Ovis aries: one gene and its partners. The protein of the gene in region 2 binds, or shares a complex with, the protein of the main gene of each other region. Links are inferred from orthologs where the notes say so. Each region holds a gene or a part of one and is shown on either strand. Other genes may lie near its edges.

What was found.
Region 1: TBL1XR1 (region 2) and CORO2A share a complex: the UniProt entries of both Homo sapiens proteins name them as parts of the N-Cor repressor complex. The link is inferred for Ovis aries from reciprocal best matches to the Homo sapiens genes TBL1XR1 and CORO2A.
Region 3: TBL1XR1 (region 2) and GPS2 share a complex: the UniProt entries of both Homo sapiens proteins name them as parts of the N-Cor repressor complex. The link is inferred for Ovis aries from reciprocal best matches to the Homo sapiens genes TBL1XR1 and GPS2.

Annotation. Positions count from the first base shown.
Region 1 is NC_056055.1:49,564,781-49,569,049, reverse strand, and holds the start of CORO2A (coronin-2A), read right to left. Parts: upstream 2,815-4,269; 5' UTR 2,561-2,814; intron 2,281-2,560; exon of another isoform or gene 2,192-2,280; intron 1-2,191.
Region 2 is NC_056054.1:210,755,453-210,759,053, forward strand, and holds part of TBL1XR1 (F-box-like/WD repeat-containing protein TBL1XR1), read left to right. Parts: intron 1-2,708; coding exon 2,709-2,830; intron 2,831-2,969; coding exon 2,970-3,044; intron 3,045-3,601. UniProt on the Homo sapiens protein: F-box-like protein involved in the recruitment of the ubiquitin/19S proteasome complex to nuclear receptor-regulated transcription units. Plays an essential role in transcription activation mediated by nuclear receptors.
Region 3 is NC_056064.1:26,910,346-26,914,409, forward strand, and holds GPS2 (G protein pathway suppressor 2), read right to left. Parts: upstream 2,864-4,064; 5' UTR 2,809-2,863; intron 2,621-2,808; 5' UTR 2,552-2,620; coding exon 2,458-2,551; intron 2,134-2,457; coding exon 2,024-2,133; intron 1,949-2,023; coding exon 1,836-1,948; intron 1,685-1,835; coding exon 1,605-1,684; intron 1,526-1,604; coding exon 1,443-1,525; intron 1,252-1,442; coding exon 1,098-1,251; intron 1,006-1,097; coding exon 916-1,005; intron 821-915; coding exon 741-820; intron 657-740; coding exon 474-656; 3' UTR 424-473; coding exon of another isoform or gene 340-423; 3' UTR 245-339; downstream 1-244. Other genes in the region: NEURL4 (neuralized-like protein 4), read right to left, coding at 3,579-3,783. UniProt on the Homo sapiens protein: Key regulator of inflammation, lipid metabolism and mitochondrion homeostasis that acts by inhibiting the activity of the ubiquitin-conjugating enzyme UBE2N/Ubc13, thereby inhibiting 'Lys-63'-linked ubiquitination.

The DNA of each region.
Region 1 (4,269 bases), on a different chromosome or scaffold from region 2:
GGACCATTTTCATGGACTTTTGGAACAAGCTGCCAGATTGCCCTGTAAAATTAAATGCTACTGGAGAATCCCTATAGCTTTACCAGCATAGAGTTTTATCCTTTTACATTTATTTCTGCTAATTTTGGAATAAATAGAGTACTTTCATTTACTATATGGTATGTGTTTTCAGACATACACACAAGGCCTGGAATAAAGATCTCTGGGCTTGGTTGCTTGTCTGCTGTGTGATCTTTGACAAGTCACATCCCCTCCAGGGACAGAGGATATCTATCTGTAAAATGACGGGGTTGAATGAGATGATTTTTTAAGATTCCTTTCAGCTTAGATATTTCATAATTCCATGGTGCATTTTAAAATTATTGGCCTAGGATGACTGTTTAATACCCAGGATCTGTCATACCTCTAAATCAAGGTCCAAACAGCTTGGACTAGTGGAACAGGAAAACAAAGCCCGGATTATACGCAGGTAGAGACGACAGGAGACACAGGGAGCACTTAAGCCTGTGCGAGGGAGCTACACTTGAGTGACAGGACAGATACTTAGTCTGCTTTTACGAGGGAATAATAACACTCATCTGTGGTCTAGCCTCAAGTCCCGTGCAGCTCCTCCATGGCCAGAAGGTAAGGTCGTGGTCACGCTACTTCAGCCTGAGAGTCCCAGACTTGCAGTCAAAGGTAGCTCACCCTCAGCAAGTGCTTGGCCAACCTCTGCTCACACACCTCTGAGGACCCAGCGGGCACCCCCTGCCCCAGCAGCCCTTTTTTTGGCTGTAAGAAAGCTCCCAGGTGAGGGACAGGTCTCGTGGGAGGACAAGGGAGACCAGAAGGCCCAGACCTGATGCTCTGAACCTGCTCCCTCAATCAGGGCGGGTGACAGGAGAGGATAAGGTCCGGAGAGAGGCTCCTCTGGCTCCTCTCACTCCAGACCTAAGGCAGCTGCTCACCTGCAGGTAAATCCTAAGGAAGTGGGTTGTGAACAAGCCCCAGGCTGACTACTGCCCCCTCTGGGGCAGACACCTCAGCTTCCTGGTCCCGCCTTGGCTCTCTTCAACTCCAACAGGAGAAACAATGTTGGATGTGGGGCTGTTTATCCCTGAGGTGAACTGGCTTAAGGGTCCAGATGACTACCCCAGGTTGGGAGGCAGGGAGGAGTCAGATGTTGTCTGTGTGCTCAGAGCAGGACTAGCAGATCCTAGCTCTGTTTGCAGCTAGTGAGATTCCCATAATAAGGGGTGTGCAACTGGGCAGTAAGACCTTCCAGAGGGGATCTGACCAAGGGGCTGGGCCAAATGCCAAGATTCTTCTTTACACAGAGAGTCTGGAGCCACACACAGTCCCTCCGACACCTGCTCTGTCCCAGACCCAACCCCACCCAGACATGGCTCTCCCGGTGCTGGAGCCCCTCTGGGGTCCATGCATGGACCTAGCCCTATCCCAGCAGGCTGGGACACCGAGCTGAGCGTCAGCACCTGGTGGGGAAAGGAAGGGAAGGGTATGGGGAGGGCAGGTTCCGCACCATTCCCTAAATCCAGGTGCTTGCACAGGTCTGGTCTAGGCAAGTCTGGGGCCAAGGCCCCCACTACCTCCAGCCCAGGGCTCCCGCCGCCCCAGACCGCGAGGTAGACTTGGCTGGCAGACTCTGATGGCTCCACCCTGCATGCCCAGGCCGGCTCCACAGGGACCTGGGGGGTGTCCGCTCCCCCTGCCTATTTCTCGTGCCCGGAAGCTGAGGTCCAGCAGGTTTCTCAGCCAGGAGAGGGTCGAGTACCACACGGGTCCCGCGAGGCACCCAGGCCGCTAGCGGGGGGCGGGAAGGAGGCTGACGGGCACGGCCAGCCACACCCAGCATGAGCTGCGCTCACTCCGGGTGGGCTGCGCAGACAGTGCCCATGCGGGCCCCGCGCCGTCGGGAGGCTGGAGCCTGAGGCGGCCCCTACTCTAACAGTCAGGCGAGGAACGTGCCACCACTGCGCCGGCTATTCCGATGGGGAAACTGAGGCCTGGAGAGGAGCAGTGCTTTGTGCAAGGTCACGCGGAGGGGCTGGAAGCCAGGTCCCCCGCGCCCCGCCGGGTCCCCCGCGGTGCGCCGAGCCCCAGCATCCCTCCCCATGCGCTGCAGCCCGGAGGCGCAGCGCGCACACATCGCACAAACCGGGAAGGTATGGCCGGCGGCCCGGGGCCGCCCTACCTTGATGACTGCCGCGCAGGTGGCGGTGGCGGTGGCGGCGGCGGCGGCGTCCAGCTCCGGCTCCGCGCTCTTAGCCGCCTCCGAGTCCCGGAGCCCAGCGCCGCCGCCTCCTCCTCCCCACCGAAGTCGGCGGGTGGGGCCGGTGGGCGGGGCAAGGGCTAGGCACATGCCCCGCCCTCGCGCCCCGCGAGTTCGGGGGCCACCCCTCCTTTCTCGAGCCCTTGTCCGCGCTCCTGGCCCCCGGGACTGGTCCCGGAGCGCGCACACGCGCGCAGAACGGGCGCGCACACCCGCGTGCACACGCCGCAGTGATTGGGGCGGGCTGCCCGGCTAACCGAGCCGAGGCTGGGGACAGTCATACTCGCCTACCTTCGCGCCCCGCCGCTCCCTCGCCGAATGGCTTGGAACAAGGGACTCGACCTTCCGGGAGCCTCAGTTACGCCCCTGATGAAAGGGAAGCAGTAACTGTGTCTGCCTCAGAGAGCTGTTTGAAAATTAGATGAGACGATCTAATTTACCTGCCTGGTGAAGTGCGTGCGCAGAGCCGACCTCGGGAGCAGCGCTCTGTGAACCTGGGCTGGTGGAGTAATTCCTTAGGCTTCTCAGTAAGCCTGCAGGAAGAGGGCGGGGAGGACCCGGAGGACGCCCTTCTTTCTCTCTGTGGCCAGGAGGGGGCGCTGCTGCCCGTTCCCGCCGGCTATGGGGTTTTGCACGCTAGGCACTGGGACAGAGATGGGGGTGGTCCAGCCTTTTAGGAATACCATCAGCTAGCACTTAATGAGCCAGGCACAGTTCTAGGCACCTTCAATGCATCACCATAGTTTACATCACACAAACCTATGAGGTTACCTGTTACTCATCTATTTTACACATGAGGAAGCTAAGGCACAGAGAGGTTAAGTAGTTTGCCTAAGATCACACAGGTAGTAATTCAACCCTAGGTAGAGTGGCTCCCAACCCCAAGCTTATAACTACACTACCACACCACCTCTCTTGAGAAGAGCTCTTTGTTTAGTGGTGTATCTCTAGGAGCTAGAACAGTACGTGGCTCAGTAACTGTTAATTCACCTCAACGTCTTAATTCGCATAGTGCCAGGGCCAGTAACTGGTGCACTCCCTTGCACTGTCACACATCTATGCCTTTGTTCACGCTGTCCCCTCTGCCTGGAGTTCTCTTCCCTCACCTCCTACTGTCCTTCCTTCCAAGGCCAGTACCAACGTCCCTCTCCGGGAAGTCTTCCCAGATTCCAGTGGGTGTGACCTCCCAGCGGTGTATCTGCCTCTTACCCCTCTGTGCCATGATAGTGGGTGGCTGGGACGGCGTTTGGGGACAGGCTGGTTGACAGAGGCCTTTCTGGGGGGCCTGGGCATATAGACCGGTGGGGAGGCCATTGGTGGGCTCTGCAATAGACACACCCTGGGACTCTCCCTAGAGATGCTGTGTAGGTGTGCTCCTCCTCCCCTGCCCCTTCCTTCCTCCTAACACTGATCCATCTGATGAAGACCGCCTGCCCAGTGGTCACGTTTGGTTGTGAGAGCTGAACTGTGAAGAAGGCAGAGCAGCAAAGAATTGATGGCTTCGAACGGTGGTGTTGGAGAAGACTCCTGAGAGTTACTTGGGCAGCAAGGAGAGCAAACCAGTCAATCTTAAGGGAAATCAACCCTGAATACTTGTTGGGAGGACTGATGCTGAAGCTGAGGCTCCAGTATTTTGGTCATCTGATGTGAACAGCTGACTCATTGGAAAAGTCCCTGATGCTGGGAAAGACTGAGGGCAGAAGGAGAGGGTGTTAGAGGATAAGATAGCTGGCTGGATAGCATCATGGATGCAATAGACGTGAACTTGTGAGGGACAGGGTGGCCGGGCATGCTGCAGTCCATGGCGAAGCAAAGAGTCGGACTCAACTGGGCAACTGAACATCAACATCTGCTGACTATCTGAAGTGCACACATGGGGAAACTGAGGCCAGAATGGGAATGACCTACCCAGGGGTCTCTAGCTAGGAAACACACAATAGGTCTGGTCCCAAAGTCTTCTATTGGGCCTTACTGCTGATTGAGATAGGCCAGAAATCCAA
Region 2 (3,601 bases):
CTTAGTTCCAGGGCTTTTTCCTTTTTTTGCTGCACCTTGCAACTTGCAGGATCCTTGTTCCTCAACCAAGGATCAGACTCATGCCCCCTGCAGTGAAAGAGCAGAGTGCTAACCACTGGACCATCAGGGAATTCCAGCTCCAGGAATTTAGAAGATTGTGTACCCTCAGCCAATAACTTTTCTTAGCCTTTTTCATCATATGAAAAATGAAACCAATAATAGTAAATATACCTCTCATGTATTACCTACATAAAAATATATTTTATGTTAAAGATGTGTCTCTATCCTGAAGGACTTATATTACCTAGAGTTATTTTTAAATTTTAGGAATAAAATATAAAGTAAGGCGGTATGGGTTCTTAGATCACACCAAACTATAATCATTGTATCTTATGAGCCAAGCATATCACAGAACATTAATCATACAACTCATGTCTTAGCATTCTCCAGCTTCCTTCAGTTATCTTTACCTGGTTATACACTTAGTTTTTGTTTTGGTTTGGACCTAATAGTGTATTTGTTTAAATACTGTTTCTGATTTTCTCAGCCACCTATCTAACATTTTCAGATGATGCACTATCAGATTGATACCCTGGTGGAGCACAACAGATACTTGGCCTTCTTCACAGCGTTTTATTATATAACTTTTAATTGTTCTTTAAATTATTTACATTTTTGGCACACACACACCCCCATACACACAATTATTTTTTGGGGGTGTTTGCACTGGGTCTTTGTTGCTACACGCAGGCATTCTCTGGTCGCAGCGAATAGGAGCCACTCCTCGTTGTGGTGTGTGAGCTTCTCATTGCAGTGGCTTCTCTTCTTTGCAGAGCACAGGCTCAGTAGTTGTGGTACAAGGGCCTGGTTGCACCGCAACCTGTGAAATTTGCCCAAACCAGGGATCGAACTCGTGTCCCCTGCATTGGCAGGCAAACCCTTATCTACTGTGCCACCAGGGAAGTCCTTTCCCCCACTTCTTAACACTATAGTAAATTATCATATAAGCATTTTGTTAAAATTATTTTTCAAAATTGTATCTTAATAATATTTAATGTCAAAATGAAGGTGTAGTTACTGACTCCAATTCCAAATCACAAAGACAAAATCTAAACCAGGTAATTCAAGAAAGGGAACATAATATAAGGAAACTCTAGCAGAAGTCTTATAAGAGTGAAGAATAGAGAAGTAGGAGGTAACTCAGAGTTTAACAACTGCAGTAAACCTAAGACTGTAGAGAAAATGATAGGATCCAACTACCCAGTGGAAATGGTGTCTTTAGAGAATAGGCTGCCTGGCGAGAGCAGGCACCGTGGAGCAATCAGAGTCACTGCCAAAGACCCAGTCTTAAAGAGAGAGGACCACAGAGTTGCCTGTCTGCCCTCTTTCTCCTGACCTTAGACTTCTGACAGTTTCTTCCACTTAATGAGCCCATCTAGGGTACTGCAGGCATGGGGACCTGCAATATGTCATGTCCTGGTGGCAAAGAAGGGCAGGGCAGAGCGGGGTGAGGAGTGGGCTGAAGATAAGCTCACAGAGGAACGGTTGTCTACATTGCTCTAAGAGGTTGTGGTGCACATGAACAACAGCATACCAGACATCGTGCTGATCAAAGTGGGCCAGTGTTTTTATTCACTGACTTAGTTGGATTCTCCCAGAAGCAGGATGGGAAAGAGGAAAGGAGCCAAGGAAGGGAACAGTTCTGGTGACAAAGGTCTAGGGTCAACCTAATTCATGCAGGGCTCTGAAGTGTTTGTTATATATCGGGATTTTCCTTGTCTTGCCAAGCAAGCTTCATTTTTGATTCTCACCTTTTCCCCCAACCACCTACTGCCTGCTCTAAATGCAGTGTTTGGTATGCTTCTATTGCTTAACCCAGTTACTTGCTATCATTACCTTAATCTGCATTGCTAATTATAGAGAAGCTTTGCACTTTGCAACAGGGGAAAATGAGAAAGGAAAGAATCTTTAATCATATCCGAGCTAAAGTATTAAATGCCAGCCAGCTTTTGAACTTCTGAGGTTTTAAATTCAGTGATGTAGAATTTAAGATATATTTGACAAGAATCAGTTAGAAGCAAAATGTATTTGCCAATCATGTAATACTCCCATTTATCGGTTAAGTAGATAGTGGAAATGGTACTTACTTAGTGTAACATTTGTCTCACTTGTAATTTACAAAGTACTTTCATACACGTTATCTAACTTGATGTTCACAATATCCTTGAGTACTAAGTGTAAAGGTTTTTATCCCCATTTTTTAGCAGAGAGAAATAGCGTGAGAGCTGACTTGCTTATAAGGGCCCATTAGTTAGGGAATAGCAAAACAAGGCTTCTTATCCATTGAACACTCACAGAATTTTAGAAACAAAAGGAAATGTAGCATCACATTTAATTTTATTCTTTTAGAAATGAGGTACCAAGAGTCTAGTGCTAGTAATTTACAGAGCAAACTCTCAGGAACCCTCATCTCCTGGTTACCAGGCCAGTATACTTTCTATTAGGCTGTGTCTCACATAGAGACAACCAAACTGAAATGTATTAATATTTGCGATATTTAAGTACCATAATCTTAAAAATTCTATTAATATAAAAAGAATAAAACAAATCGTTTTAAGTTCTTAATGTCCAGCAGTGTTTTAAAACTAAAGCACCCAGATTTCAGTACGTGTGGAATGAATACAAACCTGGCCTTTTTTCCTTTGCAGCACCAGCATTGGATGTTGACTGGCAGAGCAACAACACTTTCGCTTCTTGTAGTACAGATATGTGCATTCATGTCTGTAAATTAGGACAAGACAGACCTATTAAAACATTCCAGGGACACACGGTGAGAAACTTTTTTCTCCCTCCTTTAAAGCAATTGTGATGAATAAGTAATGTTTCAGTGGTTTTGAAGTATGTGTTTAATACCCAAAGAACAACCAAGTCTATGGAATGAAAATGTGAATGTTTACTGTTATTTTTAGAATGAAGTAAATGCTATCAAATGGGACCCAACTGGCAATCTCCTGGCATCCTGTTCTGATGACATGACCTTGAAGGTAATTCAGATAGGAGGGAGGAAGGGGGCTGAGGAGTTATACAGTGTGGCTGCGCTGGCCATTCTCAGAATGTGCCTCTTGTAGTTGGGAATTATGATACTAAGATTTGTGTTATTATAAATTGCCTTTGCTAGTAATGAGTCATATTTTGGTACAATGAAAGGTTATTTGCTCATGTAAAGATCTGACTCACAGGTAATTAATGAAGATCTTTGTAGGATTCATGGGTTTGACTGATATTCTGAGCAGTGTATTAATTGGGTTTTTGCTGTGGTGTGGATATATATCACCTTTGCTCGGAAACTGATGTGTAGTGGATATATAGCTTAATCGGTGAATGAGCATAGTTGACATGTCAGAATTCACATCTCAATATGAGTTTACATTTTTCTTGTTTTATAACTAAAAGCAAAAACTAGCACCTAGCCCCTGTGTATATCACATACCAGAATTAAGGGGTGAGAAAAGCTTTTTGAGATAAAGAAAAATATAATAATCTTCAAAATTAATGAAGCTTGAGCTGTATACTTCATCAAATTAGCTCTACTAAAAATAAT
Region 3 (4,064 bases), on a different chromosome or scaffold from region 2:
CTCTCCCCGACACATTTGTTAAAATCAAACCTGAATAAAACTACAAGTTTAATATGAAGTCCCCAACTCAACTGCTTTTTTGAATTAAATGGGTATTTATTTGGAAATCTGAAGAGTACAGGTTGAATGAACTCTGCTGCTGAGTTCATTACAACCAACCCTGCTGTCGCCCTGTGATTCCTGCCAGCCACTGCCCACCCTCTTAAACAGTCCAGTGGGAGGCAACACAGACAGCAGCCAGGGGCAGTGGCAGGTAGATTTTATTGGCCTGGTACTGGGATACCGGGGATCCTCCCCAAGGGCAGGGGTTGGGGTCAAGGCTGAAGATAAATCTGATGGTCACTTGTGGTAGAATCGTGGATTCTGGCTGTGCTGGATGAAGGGGAGCCGAGGGCCAGGCTGGCTGGTGGTTGCAAAGCCCGACTGGCAGTGGTGATGAAAGGAGGGCCTTGTCAGTGTGCACACCCTCCTGTCTACTCCACACCAGAGAGCCACCCCAGGGAGGGGAAAGGAAAACGGTGCAATGCAGGGATTCTGAGGGACCCGATCACCACCCTTACCTTTCCTGCTGGTTGCATCTGCACAGGAAGCTGGGGTGAAGCCAGGAGTCCAGGGGCAGGATGCAGAGCTTGGGGATGCATGGGACGCAGGGAGGACTGCAGAGAACAGTGTCAGCAACTGAGGCAGCCTGAGGTTCCCCTTAGCATAGGCAGCCCTTGACTTTGCAAGGTTCTACTCACTGAGTCAGAGAAGCCAGTCTGCTGGTTAGCGTGTTCCATCTGCTTTTGTAAGGACAGGGCACCACCAGGCTGGAGAAACCCTAGGCGGGGAAGGAGTGTGAAGTGAATGGAGAAGGGGGAAAGGAGGAAGGTAGGATGCATGGAACTGGGCCCCAGCATGGGGTGTTCCCATCACCTGTCTGGGTGGGCTGAAAGTGGCTGTGCACGGCATAGGGCTGTGGCTGTGGCTGAGACAAGTACTGCACTGCAGGAAACGCGGAAGGTGCTGAGGAAGGCAGGAGGCCATTAGAACTTCCTTGTAGCCTGTTCAACACTCCTCCCTTTGGGTCTTGAGGAAAATTCCTCTTCCCACCTCACCTCTGAGCTGCTGACTAGGACTGTAGGCAGGCTGCGTGGGTCCATAGTGAGGTGGGGGTTGAGCAGCTCCATAGGCGCCACCCGGGCTACCTTGGAATTGCCCATGCTCCGGGGTCCCTGCGAAAGCAGCTGCTGAGCCCACGTAGTGCCGGGTCTAAGAAGGAAGGATGAAAACTCACTGCCTGTAAACTCCATGAAGCAGAAATTCAAGTGACAGCACCCCCATTCCCCCTATTCAGATGTAGACACACTCAAGACTTGAGTGCTGGCTGGTGAAGATGCTAGGGTCTGGGTGGAAGTAGGAAAAAAAAATTCAGCCTAGACACCCAATCTTCCTACTCTTACCGTAAGTACTTGGGGTCCAAACATCTGTTTGGCTCTGTCAGCTGCCATGAGGGTGCCTGGGCGATTGTGTCCTCCAGGGCTCCCTAGAGAGGGAGAGGGGTGCTTCATGATGTTGCAACTCCCAGGAGGGCCCATTCTGACCAGTAGTTTCTTAATCCTCACCCTGCATGCTGAGGAGGTGAGTTCCGGTGTGAACGGTCAGGCCTTGCTGGTATGCTGCTGATGTCAGAGTGGTCAGGTCACTGGAGCGAAAGGAAAGCGGGTCAAAGACAAGTCTGTCCTGTCTCCACCCCCACACACTTCCCTTCCCATTTGCCATTAAACACTGATCTTTTGTTACCTGATCCCTGTTACACTTTGGCCTCGATTTTATTTTTAGTTCTTTAATCTCACCTCTGCTCTTTTCGCCTCCGTTTTTCTTCCTCATGTAAAACTTTCTTGAGCTGCAGGAAAAGTTGATGCTTCTCTTCCTGTAGAGCTAAAAGCTTCTCCTGCAACTTCAGGATCTGGGGAGGGGAGAGAAGATGAAAGCAGGAGAGCCAAGAGAAGAAAGAAGTGGGAGAGATGGAGGGACTGCTTACTTGTTCCTTGGTCTCCTCTAGTGACATTCTCTCTTCCATCTCCTTTTTCTTCCTTCTCTCCTGCTCTTCCTTCATCTTCTGTTCCATCATCTTGTCCACTTCTTCCTCCTCTGAAATAAGAGGCAGAATGGGCAAGCGGCAGGGTGTTAAAATATTAGAACATTAAGAACTGAAGAACAGCAAAAACTGGTTATCCCAGTGCTCTGGAATAGGCTTCATCACTGTGAGGGGGCTGGAACGGGGAGGTTTATTAGGTGCTCTCCAAGGTCCTTCCCAGCTCCGGGCGTGGCCTTTTTTAACTCCCACCACCATCACCACGGGGCTAGCTGTCCCTCTGGCTTCGGCCGTCGTGCACTGGTCTGCCCGTGGGTGGGGGTCACCGTGGACCGCGGAGCGCCCGAACCGTGTGTCCTCCCGCTTTGAGCCCGGCTCACCCTGCCGCTTGCGCTCCCGCTCCATCATGATGTGTCGGTGCAACGCCCTGGCCATGGCGTTGGACAGCTTCGGACGCTCCAGAAGCGCAGGCATGGTGCTGCTGGGGACGCTCGGGCCGTGAGCGCCCGGCTCTGTCGCTGGCTGCCAGACCTCTGGCCGGGCCTGCGGGGAGGCGGCAGCTCAGTGGGAGCGGGCCGCGTCCAGGCGGAAGCCGCCGCCCGCCGCCCCGGTCACGTGCCCGCCGCCCGGCCGGGCCCACAGCGCGGCTCTTCCGCGTGCGCGGGCCTGGGTCTCGGTCTCCGTGCTCCCGCCCCTGCCCGCCACCCGGGCGCCCGCCCCACCCTACTCGCCTTCTCGTCGCTTTCTCTGTGGCCTCCCGAGCTGCAGGACCGCGGCGTCACATCCGGCCGCTGGGCCGAATCCTTCCGGAGTCGGGCCTCCGCGGGCTCGCTGGTTGGGCGGAGCGGCGCAGACGGAAGTGCCGGCGACGGGTGCTCGTGGTGTCCAAACCCCCGCTATGTGCCCCACGAGACTCCCCGACCCGGCCCGCCCAGCGGGCGGAGCCCCCGAAGTTGGCGGGGCCGGGGCTCCTCCCGTGGACGAGAGGCACGCGAAACAGGGGCCGAGGCGGCTGCTCTTAGACTTCGTTTATTGGCTCCTTATAAATCAGAGTCAGTAACAACTGTACAGAGGCCCGAGCCCCGGCCCCCGCCTTCCCCACTCCCGCCCGGGCCGGAACAGCAGCTTCGTTGGGGCACGAGGAGACGCCTCTGGGATTCACAGTAACCAGGGAACAGAAACGGAAATAAATTAAGTGTATGGGGGAGGAGTCGCGGGGAGTCATGCTCCCCAGATCAGTGCATGGAGAGGGTTTCCCGGGGTCTGCGGCCGGGCTCCCCACTGCGCCCTCACCGCGGAGGGAGGGACGTCCCCTTCCGGCCGGGGCACGGAGCCAAGCTCCGCTTCCCAGCTAGTCTAGGAGCCTGCCCACACGCTCCTGTGCATCTGCCAGGCTGAGCACCATGCATGTCGCGGAGCGCTGGAATGACCTGGAGGCAGTCATCATTCCGAGTCCACGGGCCGAGGCCCAACTGTGCTTGTAGTGGTGCGGCCTCGCCCCTCACTCCACCCGTACCAGCAGGGCATAGAGGAGCGTGGCCCCTTTCTCCTTGGTCACCCACTCAAGTTCAGCTGGGCTGAAGTGAGGATCGGGAGGCTCTCTGAGGGCCACAGAAGGGGGTCCCGGGGTGTAGGAGCCAGGGCGCACACACACCTGGAACGCCACCTGGGCCTGGTGCGTCCGCTGGGATTTGGGGTCCCGGAATCTGTCAGGTAACAAGCAGAAATAGGGCAGTGAGGCCTCTGGCCCCAGTACCTCTGCCCCTTGGCACCTGCAACCACCTCAATTAGCAACAGGCCCTGCTGTTCCTAGTAGTCACTCCTTCCTTACAGGGGCTTGGCTGCAGCCTCATCTCTACCTGAAATGGTCTTCCTCCCAATGCCTGTTCTACTGACTTTGTCCTGCCCAAGTCTTTGCTCAGATTCATCCTAGTGATATCTACCTGGACTACCCGATCTTGTGTGCTCCAACCACACTCCTGATGCA